2 linked regions of the Lytechinus pictus genome follow. The protein of the gene in region 2 purifies or fractionates together with the protein of the main gene of each other region. This does not show direct contact. Links are inferred from orthologs where the notes say so. Each region holds a gene or a part of one and is shown on either strand. Other genes may lie near its edges.

Region 1 (7,926 bases), on a different chromosome or scaffold from region 2:
ACAAGCATTCATGCTTTCTTAGCAATCAGGTAAAAAAAAAATCACCACCAATAAGAAAATGCTATGCTTTGGAGCGGCTTTCTTTGTTCTTTTTCTCAATAAGACAAAAATGCTATGCCTTGGAACGGAAATTTGAGTGTGAAAATGGGGATCCCCTCCGTGGCTCATACCTACTATGCATTATATACTGAGTGCCCCCCCCCCCCCCCCCCCCCCCCGGTTCACTCATTCAATGAACAAGGTTATGATATAACCTTGTTTTCACTTAGTACTCCATATGTGGCAAAATAAGGTTGGCAATGTTTGGCTTATTTTCTCTTTTCCTTTGGAGCAAATGCTTAATTGTTTGACACTGTCGGATTCCATTACAGCTATAAATCATCATATAATTTGGCTCTTAAAGGGATGGTCCAGGCTGAAAATATTTATATCTTAATACATAGAGTAGAATTCACTGAGCAAAATACCGAAATGTACATCAAAATCGGATAACAAATAATAAAGTTATTGAAGTTTAAATTTTAGCAATATTTTGTGAAAACAGTCATCATGAAGATTCATTAGGTGATGTCACATCCCCACTTTCCATTTTCTCATGTTATTACATAAAATAATATTTTTTTCATTATTTCATACTTGTGTGAATAAAATGTCTCCCTTATAATGAAATAAGTTGCAGCAATAAATATGTAATGCACTGAATCAGTAGTAGATCCAAGTTTTCTCGTTCTTGGAGAAAAAAATTTGAATAAACCTAATTTCATATAATAAAATACAAAAGAACAAGTGGGGATGTGACATCATCAGCCCTTCGCGTGCGAAGGATTCATATGCACATGGTGCACGCGAATTTTTCACACCCTTTTTACTAAAATAACTATGCCATTCCTTTTAAAATAATGTTTCTAATTGTGCTATGACACTTACCGAACCATATGGATCGTTTCTTGTCTTCTCTTTGGTGTGTTTTTAAGAAAAAAAAAGCATTTTCTCGTGATCTTCACGTAGATACCGCAGGGTCATCGTGGTTGTAAACTTTTGCTTAAAGAGGGCGCGCGATATTATTCACAAGATGTTTGTTTACGGTTCTGCAGCTTGTACTGCTAGCTGCATTTTAGACGCTCAGCATTATTTTCCTCTTTCTGTGCTTTTTTTTGCTGTCAAGCGATTGTAGCGCCATCAGCGATGATGAAATGTAAAGAGTCGCCTTGAAATGAAGAAAAATTATGTCACATTAATTCGTTAGTTTGTTTCCTATTTTTTTGCACTTTTTTCTTCTTCCTCATCTATGATCAAAGGTGAATACCTTTTTTTGATATCTGTTCTAAAGGCTGGACATTTTAAATATTTTGTTCAAGTAAATAAATCAACAGGATAGTAATCAAAGTGCGATAGAGCTGCCCGAGCTGAAAATTCTGATACAAGGACTTGAAAATAAAACATTCTGAGCACTTTTTATAACCATGATGAGGAGACCTATATATATATATATATATTGTGTGAAAGAAATGGATGAAGAGAACAATGGTAGGCGTAGCTTAAATCAAGGTTTATATATATATATATATATATATATATATATATGTATATGAAATAAGCTAACACGAAAAAAAAACGTTTTGGGGACTGTTAAATAAGAATTCATGAGTGGAATAGGTAACTATCTATTCTATTCTTGTTCGTTTTCTATTATTTGTGTGTTGTGTTTATTTTTCTTGAAGCACCAAAAGGTAGACATGTCCGCTAAGATATATTAACGAAGTCACCATCATTATCACAAGCTAACGGATCAAAATGCGAGCGTGAAACGTGAGCTTCTTTTTTTCTTAATTCAGTCTTAACGATACTTTTTCATCATATTTTAAAGGTGAATCTCATGATTCAAAATGATAAATGCTTGTCGCAAGGGCAGAAATAGCGGGACCAATAGTTATTTTCAATATTCCGAACTGCATTCTGGACGTTGTATAAGCGCCTTTGTATAACAATTAAAAGGGTAGGCCTATTTACCTTACAAATTATGCGAGCGCTGAACTTTTGGACATTTAAACCTCAACAAATGGACATTTTTAAAATATGAACAACATCATAAATGTCACTTACAAAAATGATGCCAGCGTGAAGCTCGCGCTTAGAGTTTTTTATATTGATGACAGGACTTGTATCTAAATGAAAAATAATGCGAGGGCATTTGCGCTTAAGATTTAAATTTGGGATTTGAAAAGTCCGACAGATTACCTATACTTTTAAAAGAGGAATGACCTCCAGAATTCAAGCGCGAAGCGCCAGTAGATTTATGTTAAAGTTTAGACCTAGAACAGGGACGTTGAACCTTTATAATCATGAAAAAGATGGTATTTTTATAAATAAAACATGGGAGTCTAATTTTGTTTTAGTGTTAATATTCAGATCTTCAAACTTGACATTTTCCTATCCCCTTCATCATCCCCTCTCCTTCTCCCTTTCCCCATTTTCGTTCTCCCTTCTTTTCTTCTCTCCCTTTCCCTTCCCTTTTTCGCTTTTCCTTTCCCTTCTTTTATTTCCTTTCTCCCTCCCCTACTCTTTTCTCGCTCTTTCCATTTTTCTTTCCCTCTCCCTTCCCCTCTTCCTTTCTTTTGTTTTCTTTCTATTTTATGGTCTCCTTTTCCCTCTCTCTCCTTTACCTTTCCCCCTCCCCTGATCTGTCTTTTCTTGTCTCTCCTTTCCTTTCCCGCCCCCTCCGTTCCCTTTCTCGCTTTTTCCTTTCCCTTCTTTTCTTTCCTTTCTCCCTCCCCTACTACTTGAATCGAGAATGTTCGATAGGAAAATTTCGCATTTCGATTGTTGTTTGCGTAATTTCCACCGCAGTATGAGGATGACCAAGGACGGATCGAACGAAGTATCCTGGTTGAGATTTGGAGGTAAGCGATAAAAACACCTTAATAAATAATTTATAATTCCTTTTTCAAATAGGCCTATACTTAAATCATACGATCAAGATTAACATAGTGGACAAATATTGAAAGGCTTGGCGTAGTTTAGTCCCTCACATTCGTGTGATGAATGAAAACGTCAAAATGCACTATGAAATCACATGTGTTGTGCAAGGTTAGTACCTCGCATGTTGTGTGAGTGGCTGCCTCCCTGGCTACGTCTCGTCTGCTCTTTCTACTGATATTATCAATATCAAGGGATTCTAGTTAGGAAGCCCTTCGTGAAACAGGTTTAGAAAGATTGGAACTAACTCCGTGGTTGGTGGATAAAGATATGACTAACGTTAGATCTAACTTGTCCGGGTGTTGTCGAAAAACTTTTTTAAAAAGGGTAGGCCGTCACACCATTATTTACACGTGGGACTATTCATACTATAGTTCCACTTCCAGATGTTCGGTTCGAACACCAATCGAGAAATCACTTTTTATAAGTTGTATCGTCTACGGACATATATCCCACATAAAATTTTAGGTCATATATATCTAGTCTCGATGCAATTAACTCACTTATTTGTTTCATGGTAAAGTTTCTCCATTTTTTACTTAAGTTTATCCTTGCTTGTCAGCTCCGAATCCGATTGTCCACCGTGGCTCGATTGTTTATCACGCAACGGAAGTACGGCCGGTACACGTACACGTTGTATAAAAATACCGGTTGACCCGTACTACGATTGAGGTCGGGGCCGAGAGCTAGAGGGGCGGGGTAGTAGTTATAGGGGTGGAGTCGGAGTAGCCCTTCTCACAGTTAGGGGTGGGGTTTCGCTTTCACAAGATCACAAATTTAGACTCCTATTCCTAGATTACTGATTAAAATCCAGGCAAATTTTACAATAAAAAATCCACATATATAGTTAAACGACAAGTCCACCCTAACAAAAAGTTGGTCCTTTTTGTCAAACAAAAAAAAAATGAAATATTGTATAATTCAAACAATAAAACAAAAGAAATAGTGAGTGAAGGACATCATCGACAGTATCATTTGCACGTTACTGAGTTGTGCATAATTGTTTTGTCTATAAGTGAAACTTTATAAATGTCATAACTTTCTTATTTTGCGTCCGATTTTGATGGAATTTTCAGCGTTATGCTATATAGTTTGATTTTTTTTCTATTTATTCAAATCAATATTTTCCTGGGTGCATGGACTTGACCTTTAATATGCCTAACATTGTGTGTGCATGGTTTATCATATAGACCTACATTTTTTTCTTTCAGGCAACCAAAATTAATAAGAGAGAAGTCACACTTTAAAAAAGGGTTTACCCGATATTGGGTAAAATGGGAACATGCATGTTGGTTGGATAAAAAAAAAATTATGCAATGTTGCTCTGAAATAGCCCAATATGAACCCATGGACCCGTTGCATAATTTTTTTGCCATAAAAAACTCTGGCAATTTTTTGCCAAAGTTTTTTAATGTATAAGTTTCAAAGGCATAATTTTAATTGTTTGCCAGAGTTTTTGTTTATTTCCCAGAGTTTTCTATGGCAAAAGTTTTCTGCAAATGGGTAAAAAAAAAATACCCAGCAAACATGCATGTACCCTTTCTACCCAATATTGAGTAAAATGTTTTTAGAGTGCAAGTAATAGCGGTTTCATTCTCAGAATTATAAAACAAACGCAGTGGCATCGCATTCTGTTGGTTCACACGCACGCAAACCACGCTATACCGCAACTGCGCGTGCAATGAAAGATATTCTCCTGCACAGGTTTCCTTGGCCGTAAGACAATACTTAAAAATTCTAAAAGTTCCAGTTTTCAGACCTTATCCCAGGACCAAAATCCAGTTAAAACCAATTAGGGTAAAACCAATTGAAACCAGTTGGCCAACTGGTTTCAATAGGGAAATTGGAACAACTGGTTCCAATTGAAAACCAGTTGCCAATTGGTTCCAGTTAAAACCAATTGGTTCCAATTGAAAACCAGTTGCCAATTGGTTCCAGTTAAAACCAATTGAGCAACTGGAACCAGTTGGCAATTTGTGTCAATTGGTTCCAGTTGTTCCAATTTCCCTATTAAAACCAGTTGAATCCAATTGGAGGCAACTGGTTTCAATTGGTTCCAGTTGAAACCAATTGGAGGCAACTGGTTTCACTGAACTGGAACCAGTTGAAACCAATTGGTTTCCAACTGGAACCAATTGGAACTTCCAGTTGGAATGAACTTGATTAGTTACAAATTAATTAGCATTTGCACTAACTATTGCTCATGCCAACACAGAAGCAGTGTTATATGTCTATTAATACCAATGTAAAGGGCATTGATAAAATACAGACTTTCATATGTACATATATTTATATGGAAGATCTTCAAATATATGTATTTTCATTTGATGTAATTTGGTAACAGTTAGTGGTGTACTAATTATCCTTTAATCTGTTTTAATTATAATCTATAACATTTATGAACATGGTTTTCACTGCAAAGTATTCTAAATACTTATCTTTAAAAAGTGTGGTACTTGTAATTGAAAAGAGAAAAATAGATACATTGTTAATGATGATGAATCTCATAAAACATTAATCTGTGCACACTGGCAGATAATATGCAAATTAACTGGTTTCAATTGGATCCAGTTGGGTAACTGGAAAATTTCCAATTGGAAACCAATTGGAAATCATTTCCAGTTACCCAACTGGTTCCAGTTAGGATTTCCAGTTGCCCAACTGGTTCCAGTTGGGATTTCCATAATATCAACAAATTTCGCGCTCTCATTAAATTGAAGCATAGTTTAAATCTGTGTTAAGGCCTGGGTATATCTATTACTGTTTTTCTGACTGCTTTAAAATATTCCACCATCATAATTATCATTGTTAAACATGACTAGTCTGACCTATAGAGGCATGTGACACACAGCAGAAAGAGAAATTGGACAATGTAATATAATTCAAGCTGATAAAAAATAAATATGTCGCCTTTGCAGACATTAATATGAAAAAACAATTAAAATTCATTTTGTGTGCTTTTTCTTTCAGAATAATCAAGTCAATCTGCTCAGTGTTTTGTATGCCAATACTTTTGAGATTTGAAAATTGACTTTTTGAAAATTAATCTATCCCACAATACAGTGCATAATTGTGAACAATTCATGCTTTTCTGCAGGCACACCAAAATTATCTTGTCATAATTATAAGTTTCAACAAATTCTTTCAATCATTTCTTCCTTGCGTTATGTTATGTGAATCATGATGGACAAAAAACACAATCATACGTTTAATTTACATTGGTCTAATGCTGATTCGTCCAATTACAAACTAATCTACCATCAGTTTATCCACTATCCACATGGTCCAATTGCCATTTCATCTAATACCCATTTAGTTCATATAACATTTGGTCTAATTGGACCAAGTATTTATTGGGCGAAACGAATGAAAAAAAAATAGACCAACTGGTTATGAGACGAAATGGTCATAGACCAATTCTGGCGATTAGACAAAGTGATTACGGGACCAAATGGTTATTTGACGAAATGTTAATGGACAGGATGGTATTAGACTAAATGAAGGTAGACCTTGTGATGAGTGGCAATAGACAAATTCGGAATTTACCTTATCATCATCTTGAGATTAAAAGTTCCATTTCCTCTGTGTATGTATGCTCCTATTACGTATGAGTGGAACAATGACCTACATAATGAAAATCAGAGGACCGCTTTATGAAAGTTGTCAGCTCTGAAAAAAATGACTTTCTCCGACAGTTACCATAGTAACAGAGGCCAGTGCTCTCAGCTAATCAAAACCGAGAATTTCACTGAAATTGTCAGCACTGACAGTTTACTCAGTGCTGACAACTTTCACCCCTGAATATCTCTCACTACAATACGCCAACTCTTAATCCCATAATTCTGACTATACAGATATACCTCAAACAATAACCCCCCCCCCCTCTCTCATGCAAGTTTAATTCACTAACAAATTATCAGGAATTTCTTGCTTTCATCTTCATTCATGATTATGATACACCTTTAACAAATAAAGACACAAGACACAGTTTATAAGGGGCATAAAAATTAATATATATTAATAATCAAATAATATACACTTCAATAGGGAAATAATATAAATAACATAATATAGTGTAATAACAAGATAAAGATGGCTCTTCGTTACATTGTTACCACTCCTGTCTGATTGCTTGTGTATAGACAAGTCATGTAGTGATTATATCTCCAAGCAAAAGATGACGCAGGAACGCCCGGTCTGAGTCGCAATCAGCCCCTGTCACTTGCCAGTAAACTGACAAATGACAGGGGCTAAAAAGTTTCCCAAACCGAGCGCCTCCCATGTTCCCTGCATCATCGATTGCTTAGGGATAAATCACACCATGACTACTCTACACACAGGCAATCAGACAGGAGTGTTAACAATATCACAAAATCATAATTTTGCCCCCTAAAAAGGATGATAAATTGCAATAACAATGCCAAAACAAAATAATGTATGAAGATAATGGCAATATAACAATACTTGTAATAAATAATAAACAAAATATATGCCAATATAAACAATAACATTGCATCAAAACAACATTTGCATTTGCAATATAAATATAAATTCCACCATGACTGGTCTACACACAGGAAATCACAAAGGAGTGGTAAACAAATCATCCACTTATAATGCAAATGATATCTGAACAATATTGCCATATATAAAATGTAAATATAACAATACCACTATTCCTGCGTAATCATCCAATTATTGCAAAAATAACGCATATAATGTCTGAATAATATTGCCATACAATGTAAATATAACAATGCCACTATACCTGCGGCTGTCAATTGCTTGGAGATAATAACACCATGACTGGTCTACATACAGGCAATTAGACAGGAGTAGTAAACAATACCACAAAATCATTCACTAATGCAAATGATATCTGAACAATATTGCCATATACATGTAAATATAACAAGGCCACTGTAAAAACAAAAATAATGGCACTATAGA
Region 2 (8,426 bases):
ACCTAAATGTTACATCCCCAAAACTTTACCGGTAATGATAATATAAAGAAAGTCAAACATGAGGTGATGTTTTTTTTTTTTTTTGCATTGTGGTCTGGGTTTTTAAGATACCATTTTAGAGGATTAATTTCCTGTTGACAGAACTTGTTATATCTTGCAGAATATAACCATGGAAAAAACAAAGGAGTTGATGATAAATATTGTGTTTTTGTATTATTATCACATTGTATCTGTCAGGTCTAGTACAGTGATAACCGTTGATGCTACAGGAGAAGTGGTCTACTCTGAGAAATCTTTGGAAGAACCCATTGACTCTTCAAATCTGAAATGGATAACAACCCAACACAGATTCCATCTTACATGTGATTTATGATGGATCTTTCAGAGTCTTCAATTATAGAACAGCCAAAGACAATGAATGAATTATAATCATCTTCATTACTTATCATAGCTGCAGAAAAAAAATGATCACAAAGTCTCCATTCAGGGATCAGAATGCTTTATTGTGAAATGGTAATTCTTTTTTATTTTCATGTCACCATTGTTTATTACATGTATTCTTTCTTAATCTACTTGCATTTCATATTGATTTAAATTTTATTATTTAATTTAATTATTAGATAAGGAAATTTGAATTTTATTTCTGTAGTTAATCAATGACCTGCTGTCAGATATGTCTTACAAAAACCACTGAAAGTACATTTCGTCAGTGATTTTACGAACTGGCGCAAACCTAATTTCGGCCAAATTTTTGAAATTTATTTTTTTGCATATTCTGAAAGCCTGTGATTTAATCTATTGATTTGCCAAATTTCAGATAAAAATTTGTATTATTTAAAAAAAAGGGCATATTTAATATTTGTACGTACCGGCTCAACCTCCTTTGATTTTATGAACTTGCTCAAACCATTCTTTGTGTACTATAAAGTCTCTGGAATGGTGCGCACAGGTCAAAGACCGACCTAGATGCGGCGCTTATGCCGGTGCGTATGTGCTTTGCGCAGGGTTTGTGCCTCTAAAAAAAACATACGCATGGCATGAATGATTTTACAAGCTGGCTCAAACCGTGGTTTGTGCCGCTAAACAGCAGTGGGCATGGTGCGCGTTATTTTACGAACTGGCTCAAACCCCCTGTTTTGGGTAAGAATTAGCAGCTCCTGAAATGCATACAAGCGCTTCCTTTTTAAATATTGAAAGAATAAATAAGAATTGCAAACAAAATTTTGTATATTACAAAAGAATAGACTGTATGCTTTAAATTGTTATAAATAATTGATCTGGTTTCTTTCAAAGCGCAAAGTTATGAGCTTCTGAAAAACATCGAAACTTTGAATGCAATTATCTGGAAATCATGTTTTGGAGACCAGCTGAGGTTTGAGCCAGTTTGTAAAATCACTGACGAATTTTCCATAGAAACTTTAATTGGTTTTTCTAGTTCTAGAATTAAGATCAATGTCACATTTCACAATATGCAAGGAGACGGGGAGTTGTGCTCCCTCTTTCTAGACACACTTGAATGTCCTTCTAGTAAAAAAGTGTTATGATGATTATGATAATGATGATGATGGTGGTGGTGGTGATGATGATGATGATGATGGTGTTGGTGGTTATAGTGATGGTGATGATGATGATGACAAACTACTTTTAAGTTAAAGCATATATACATATGAAAATCATAGAATTTACTTTTTATGCACGTTTACAGGGGAGGGGAGGGGACTAGGTGCTATTATAATTACAAGATATATATGCATTTTAAAAAAGTACCATAAATAATCTTACTTTGATTTTCAAAGTACCCAAATCATGTATTTTGTCATGCTTTCGTTAGCCTAAATAATGTCTAAAATATATGTTTTCATGTTAGGATGAAATATATACCCTTTCTATGCACCATACACACAAGGCTTTTTAAAGTATACATTTTATTCCTGATTTGGTTATGATACATTTCAAAGTACATCGCCCCACGGTGATAAACAACTCTCAGTATTTGTATGCTACTGTGGATGAGCATTGTGTCTACTGTGCACTATAATGGAATTGCCTGTATTGAATAACTAATGATAACTTATGAATATAACATTAGATACTTGAAAATTATTGATTCCAGTGTGTGAAAATGAAAGAATAAAATAAATGTAGGTATATGTATAATAATAATACTGTTTTACATGACTTTTTGTTGAGACTACAGTCATCTTGGTTGGCATGTTTTAATTCAACATTTATAAGTGTCATTCAGATGGTATTTAATTAGTTTTTTTAATGAAAAAAAAATTAAGGAAAAAATCTAGCCCGAAATCAATCCAACATGAATGAAAGTGAGTGATGGGTAATTTTACAATCAAGGTAACCCAACTGTCGCATTTGATTTTCTTTTGTGCATGTGTGTGTTATAAACAAGTGAAATGATATTTCTTTGAAATTTTGAGGCATATTATTTCTATAAAGATTCAGTCATGTAATTTCATGTGCTGACATTTGCTTTTTTTTTTTTTTTGAGAAGTAAGTGGATGTGGGCAACATTCTAAGTTTGTTGTATAAACAGCCAAACCTGCATTAGTGGCCACCTGTCTATAGCAGCCACCTGCCTGATGACTAGAGTGTCCACTAAAGCCAGTTCCCATAGAGGCAGATTGTGGGTGTAAGAACCCGTCTATAGCAATCCCCTGCTTATTCCCTTGAAGGCATATTGTGTGTATAAGAACCTATCTATAGCAACCCCTGCTTATAGTGACCACTAAAACTGATTCCCTTAGAGACAATTGTGTGTATAAGAACCTGTCTACAGCAACCCGTGCTTATAGTGACCACTAAAACTGATTCCCTTGGAGGCAGATTGTGTATGTAAGAATCTCTCTCTAGCAACCCCCTGCTTATTCCCTTGAAGGCAGATTGTGTGTATAAGAACCTGTCTATAGCAACCCCCTGCTTATAGTGACCACTAAAACTGATTCGAAGGCAATTGTGTGTATAAGAACCTGTCTATTGCAACCCCTGCTTATTACCTTGAAAGCAATTGTATAAGAACCTGTCTATAGCAACCCCCTGCTTATTACCTTGAAAGCAATTGTGTGTATAAGAAACTGTCTATAGCAACCCCCTGCCTATAGTGACCACTAAAACTGATTCCCTTTAGGCAGATTGTGTTTATTATAAGAACCTCTCTATAGCAACCCCCTGCTTATTCCCTTGAAGGCAGATTGTGTTTATGAGAACCTGTTATCTGTCTATAGCAACCTCCTGTCCATAAAGGCCACATTTTGTGTTTCCCTTGGGTGTCACTATGACAGGTTTCACTGCATAGACAAAAGCATTCGTAATTGATTCATGACTATGTGTAAAAATATCTAATTCAGAGCTAGAAAACATTTTTGGATAGAATTTGCACCCCATTTTTGGTTAATAGTCACCAAAAAATTTCAACATCTTTGGGGGAATTTCATTTTTCATTTTTGAATAAGGTTTGATTGGCAAAACAATGCCTGATTATTTCTAAAAATAGAATGTGCAGGCTCGAAATAAGGGAAAATTAAACTAAATGAGAGTAATTTTGGCCCTAAAATGCCTGCTAAAGGTAATATATAGAAAAGTAAACTTGTATTTCAATCATTTTCTTTGCAGGTTGCTCTGTAAAATAATATTTAAATTGTGAAGCAAAAGGTCACACAATTATTTCTCTAGTTATAGGAGATAAATCTTTTAATTACATATTCCATCGATTCATTTTTTGGAGAGGACGCTTTGGACAGAAATGGATTTGGCAACATAGGAACATGAACTACATGGCGCGATAGCTCAGTCGGTAGAGCGGGGGTTTCGAATTTTGGTGACCCGGGTTCGATTCCCAAGTGGTGCGCTAGTGCCCTTTGGTAAGGCATTTATCCTCATTACCAAGTCCCTCGGAGAGGACCTTAAGCCATTGGTCCCCTGGTTGCTTGCTCACAGGCATTCATGCTTTCTTAGCAGTCAGGTAAAAAACCTCGGTATAACTAAAATAAGTGGATGCGTGTGGGCAAAGTGGACACTTTAAAGGGGAAGTTCACCCTGACAAAAATTTTATTGTAAAAATAACACAAAGCACAACAGAAAATATTGTTGGAGGTTTGAGGAAAATCCATCAGAGATTTAGAGATGAATACCAGTTGTGGTAACGATCTCAAAATCAGTTCGAACAGAATCCAATAAAATTATCACCAAAGTGTTTGTATGTAGGTCCTATAATGAAAAAAGATGTTCCAAATATCTCTGGAAGAAAATGCGTAATTGCTGACAGAAGCGGATCTAGAGGGGGGGTTGGGGGGGTTGCAACCCCCCCAAAAAAAAAAAAATCCGGGGACCATTTTTTTAAATCTTATCTTTTTTTTTAAACTTGTAATTTTAGAAAACGCCATTTTCACACACAGATTTTCAAAAATTTTCCCTACTGTGGGAGGGGGGACACCCCCCTCCCACACCCTCCCCCCTCGCTCGCTCCGCTCGCTTGGACTCGGTCGCTACGCTCCCTCGCATACCACCCCAACCCCCCCTTTATAAAAAGCTGGATCCGCCCCTGGCTGAGAAATGAGCAAAATAAGCATGGAATTTCATAAAATGTCAGTTATTTTTCCAAGCAATATTAATACACTGTTATGGCTTGATGGTAAAAATTATCGGTTTTCAGCTAAAACTTCATGATTTCACAAAGATAAGTTATATCAATGTACCAGATCTCGATGTATGATAAGGTAATATTTTAACAATTAACCTTCAGACTTTTTCATTAAATAATTGTTTGCTTCAACTACTTTCTTTTACCCTTAAATTCTATGAGCATTTTAATTTTTTATTTTTGACATCACATGTGAGCATCTTCACATGTATCAAGAATTATGAAAAGTCAGTCGAATGTCACTTTCTCAAAGAAAAATTAAAAAGGGTTTTTAACAGGGACGTCCCCTTTTTTCAGTTACAAGTGTTAGCTTTGTAGACAAAACATTATTAATTAATTTCTAACTAGATCGAACTGTTATACATAAAAATACAGAATTAGGAGAGGACATTTTCAAACACCCAATTTTCGGTTAATAATAGTATCAGAAACAATCAAATTATCTGCATAATTGAATCAACAAATGGATTGCTGGTGAGGAGAGAGGGAAAAAATAGGAATTCTTGTCTACTATGTTCAAGTTTTTTTCCCCGATTATGTATAACTTTGCTATAGTACGGTATTACTGGTAATAAATAATCGGCTACGTTCAATTATTTCTGCTACGTGTTATTCAATTTGGTTGGCGAAAATAAAAGGGAATTTCGTATTTTGATTGCAGCCAGGAGGCGGATGTTTGTAAGTAGAACTATACAATCGGTATAATATTGTAGCTCTTGACTAATATTATAGATTGATGTGTTGGCTGACACTTGACAGTGAGGTTTTAAGTTTTGTAGAGCTTTGTTTGAGCCGTGGACACTTGAGTCGGAGACTGAGCTGATGCGCAGTGACTGATCTGTCCTGGCTGTGTCTGATGTGGCAATGCGCCACAACTGAGCCGTGGCGCGGCGGCAGCGCAGTGGGCGCTGGCCGGCGGGCACCTCAGGCGATGGTTCGTGTGTATGTAGACAGCTGGCAGACGTCTGTTTCGAGGAGTCTTTTAAACATTTTTAAAAATTTCTCATAATGAGTCATATGCAGACGGCTCGGATCATGCAGGTTAACAATGCAAAATCCCCCCGATCAATGTGCTCATCGATTTTTTACTTGGGCCCTAGTTATATTTTGTCTTTATTTCATTAAAAAATATAAGAAATAAGAAGAATTCAACTGGACCAAAATAAAGATTATTTTTCTGTTTTGGCCTGAAATGCACCAAAACGGGAAAAAAATAAACTTAAAAGGACAAAAACAGTGATTTACTTCGGCTGTCGCGCAACTCCCACTTTCTTGGTTTGTCCGAACTTAATATGGCCAGAGTTCCTGTAACGTTGCAGATCAAGTTAGAAGTAGCCTAGGTATATAGAACTTCTGTCTCTGTCAGGGTGACCAGATTTCACAAAATGAAATACGGGACAATCGACAAAGCACGCTGCACGAGCGGGTGGACCGAGCCAGGTCTTAAAGGACAAGTCCACCCCAACAAAAAGTTGATTTTAATAAAAAGAGAAAAATCCAACAAGCATAACACTGAAAATTTCTTCAAAATCAGATTTAACATAAGAAAGTTATGACATTTTAAAGTTTCGCTTAATTTCACAAAACAGTTATACATGTATGCACATCCTGGTCGGAATGCAAATGAGGAGACTGATGACGTCATCTACTCACTATTTCTTTTGTATTTTATTATTTGAAATATGAAATATTCTAATTTTCCCCTCATTGTCAAGTGAAACAACGATTAATTCCTCCCTGAACATGTGGAATTAGCATTGTTTAATGGTTCAGTCAAGTTGGCCCTTATTGTGAAATCTGTAAAATATGAAATATTGTATAATTCAAACAATAAAAACAAAATAAAAAGTGAGTGATTGACATCATCGACCGACTCATCTGCATGTCACTGAGTTGTGCATATCAATTATCACTGTTCTGTGAAAAATAAAGGAAACTTTAAAATTCCATAACTTTCTTATTCTACATCCGATTTTGATGAAATTTTCAGCATTATGCTAGTTTGATTTTTCTCTATTTATTCAAATCAACATTTTTCTGGGGTGGACTTGACCTTTAACAGGGCGCGACAAAACCGCTTGCCTGGGGGAAGTGAAAATGACCTGCGGGCAAGCATTTATCAAAGTCAATTGCCCGATCGGGCAAGTGGTTGTTTTGAAAATGAAAACGATATTACAGTAAATTTTAATAATTTTTCGATAAATTGCAATTATCGGCCAATTATCTCTCATAGTCATACAAAATGTCATACCAGTAAAAAAACAGTGGGAACATGTCAAATCAGCGCCAATTTACCGAAAATTTATCGCCAGCGGTCCTGTTCGATGGGGGCTGCCATCTTTATTTCTAAACTATACTGTGCGCATGCGCTACTAATTGACGAAGGAGCTAGCTGGGGAAACCCCTCTCTCGCCCTCTTAGCGCATGCTCTAATACATCGGCGCTACAGTACATGTACGTACGTACACGAGCGATCGCGAGCCAGCCGACTCTCGAGCTAGATCGCGCTGAATGCATGCAAGCTTCGGACTGACTCGGCCAGGACTCGGCATCAACTTCAAACCAAATAAACAATGAGTCGTCAGACTAAAATAGGTGACTTTTGTTGTCGCGATCGGCGACCAGAACAACTTGAACAAGAGTCAAGAAAAAGAAATGCCGAGGCCAGCGCCAGTAAATCAAGTTCAACCAGGACAGAAAAGAATAATTAAGAGCTAAAGAATTTTTGAAAAATATCGGGCAAGCAGTTTTTTCTATCGGGCAAGCAAATTTTTTATCACTTGCCCGACATGGGCAAGTGATGAAATTCTTTTTTGTAGAGGCCTGCTTTGTTAAAAAAAAGATGAACAAAGAAGGCTACACAGTGTTAGACTTCACTTGTGAAAAAAATATAAAGAATTGGAAGGGAGGGTGAACAAAAGAATGAAGGGGAGAAAGAAAAGACGAAAGAAAAGAGATGAATTGAGAAGAAAAACAAAATGAAGGGGGAAATGGAGAAAATTTAAAAGAAAGGTTAGAATAAAAGAAGAATGGAAGAAAGAATAAAAGAGAGAAAAAAGGTTTCCATCATTCTTTGAAATGAATATAGATAGAAAGAAAAAGAAAAAGAAATGAAGGAAAGATGAATAAATGTGTGAAAGAAAAAGTAAAGGAGAGAAAGGAAAAAAAAAGTAAGAAAAAAGGAGGAGGAAAGAAAGAATGAAAGAAATAAAACGGTTTCCTTCATTCTTTGAAAGAAAAAAAGAAAGAAGAAAAACAGGAATGGAGGAAGGAAGAAAGGAAGAAAGGAAGGGAAAGAAAGAATAATGGAAAAGAATTAGAAGGAAAAATAAAATAAAGAATGAAAGAAAGGATGAAAAAGAGGGAGAATAGTATGAAAAAAGAAAATAATGGAAGGAGAGAAAGAAGGAAAAGAAAAAGGAGAGGAAGGGAGAAGGATTTTTTTTTTTTTTTTTTTATATATTTCAAATAAAAAAAGTAAAATGTTTTAGAAATGAATAAAATTTCAAAGTGAAACATTGTCAAACTTAAAAAATAGATGAAACATCGCGGCCATACACAGGCATCACTCCCATCCCATTACAAGGTCGCAGCGATCACAAAAAGACTCAAAATGAAAGCTGAAACAACTAGATCTAGTTATATAAACTCAATAACTTGTTCCTCCGATTACATCTCCAAATCAGTAATCTGAGAATCCATAGTATAATTATAAATATTTCCCGCCGATTCCGTGTTTATTTTGGTGTAAAACTGTTTAACATGTGAGATT

The links.
Region 1: the proteins of BET1 homolog (region 2) and Golgi SNAP receptor complex member 2-like purify together in Homo sapiens (affinity purification with mass spectrometry; 3 studies listed by BioGRID and IntAct, with this or other methods). This does not show direct contact. The link is inferred for Lytechinus pictus from reciprocal best matches to the Homo sapiens genes BET1 and GOSR2.

The regions. Positions count from the first base shown.
Region 1 is NC_087245.1:13,004,875-13,012,800, reverse strand, and holds the start of Golgi SNAP receptor complex member 2-like, read right to left. Parts: upstream 3,590-7,926; 5' UTR 3,509-3,589; coding exon 3,480-3,508; intron 1-3,479. UniProt on the Homo sapiens protein: Involved in transport of proteins from the cis/medial-Golgi to the trans-Golgi network.
Region 2 is NC_087246.1:2,291,772-2,300,197, reverse strand, and holds the start of BET1 homolog, read left to right. Parts: upstream 1-5,231; 5' UTR 5,232-5,332; intron 5,333-8,426. Other genes in the region: transport and Golgi organization protein 2 homolog, read left to right, coding at 238-373. UniProt on the Homo sapiens protein: Required for vesicular transport from the ER to the Golgi complex. Functions as a SNARE involved in the docking process of ER-derived vesicles with the cis-Golgi membrane.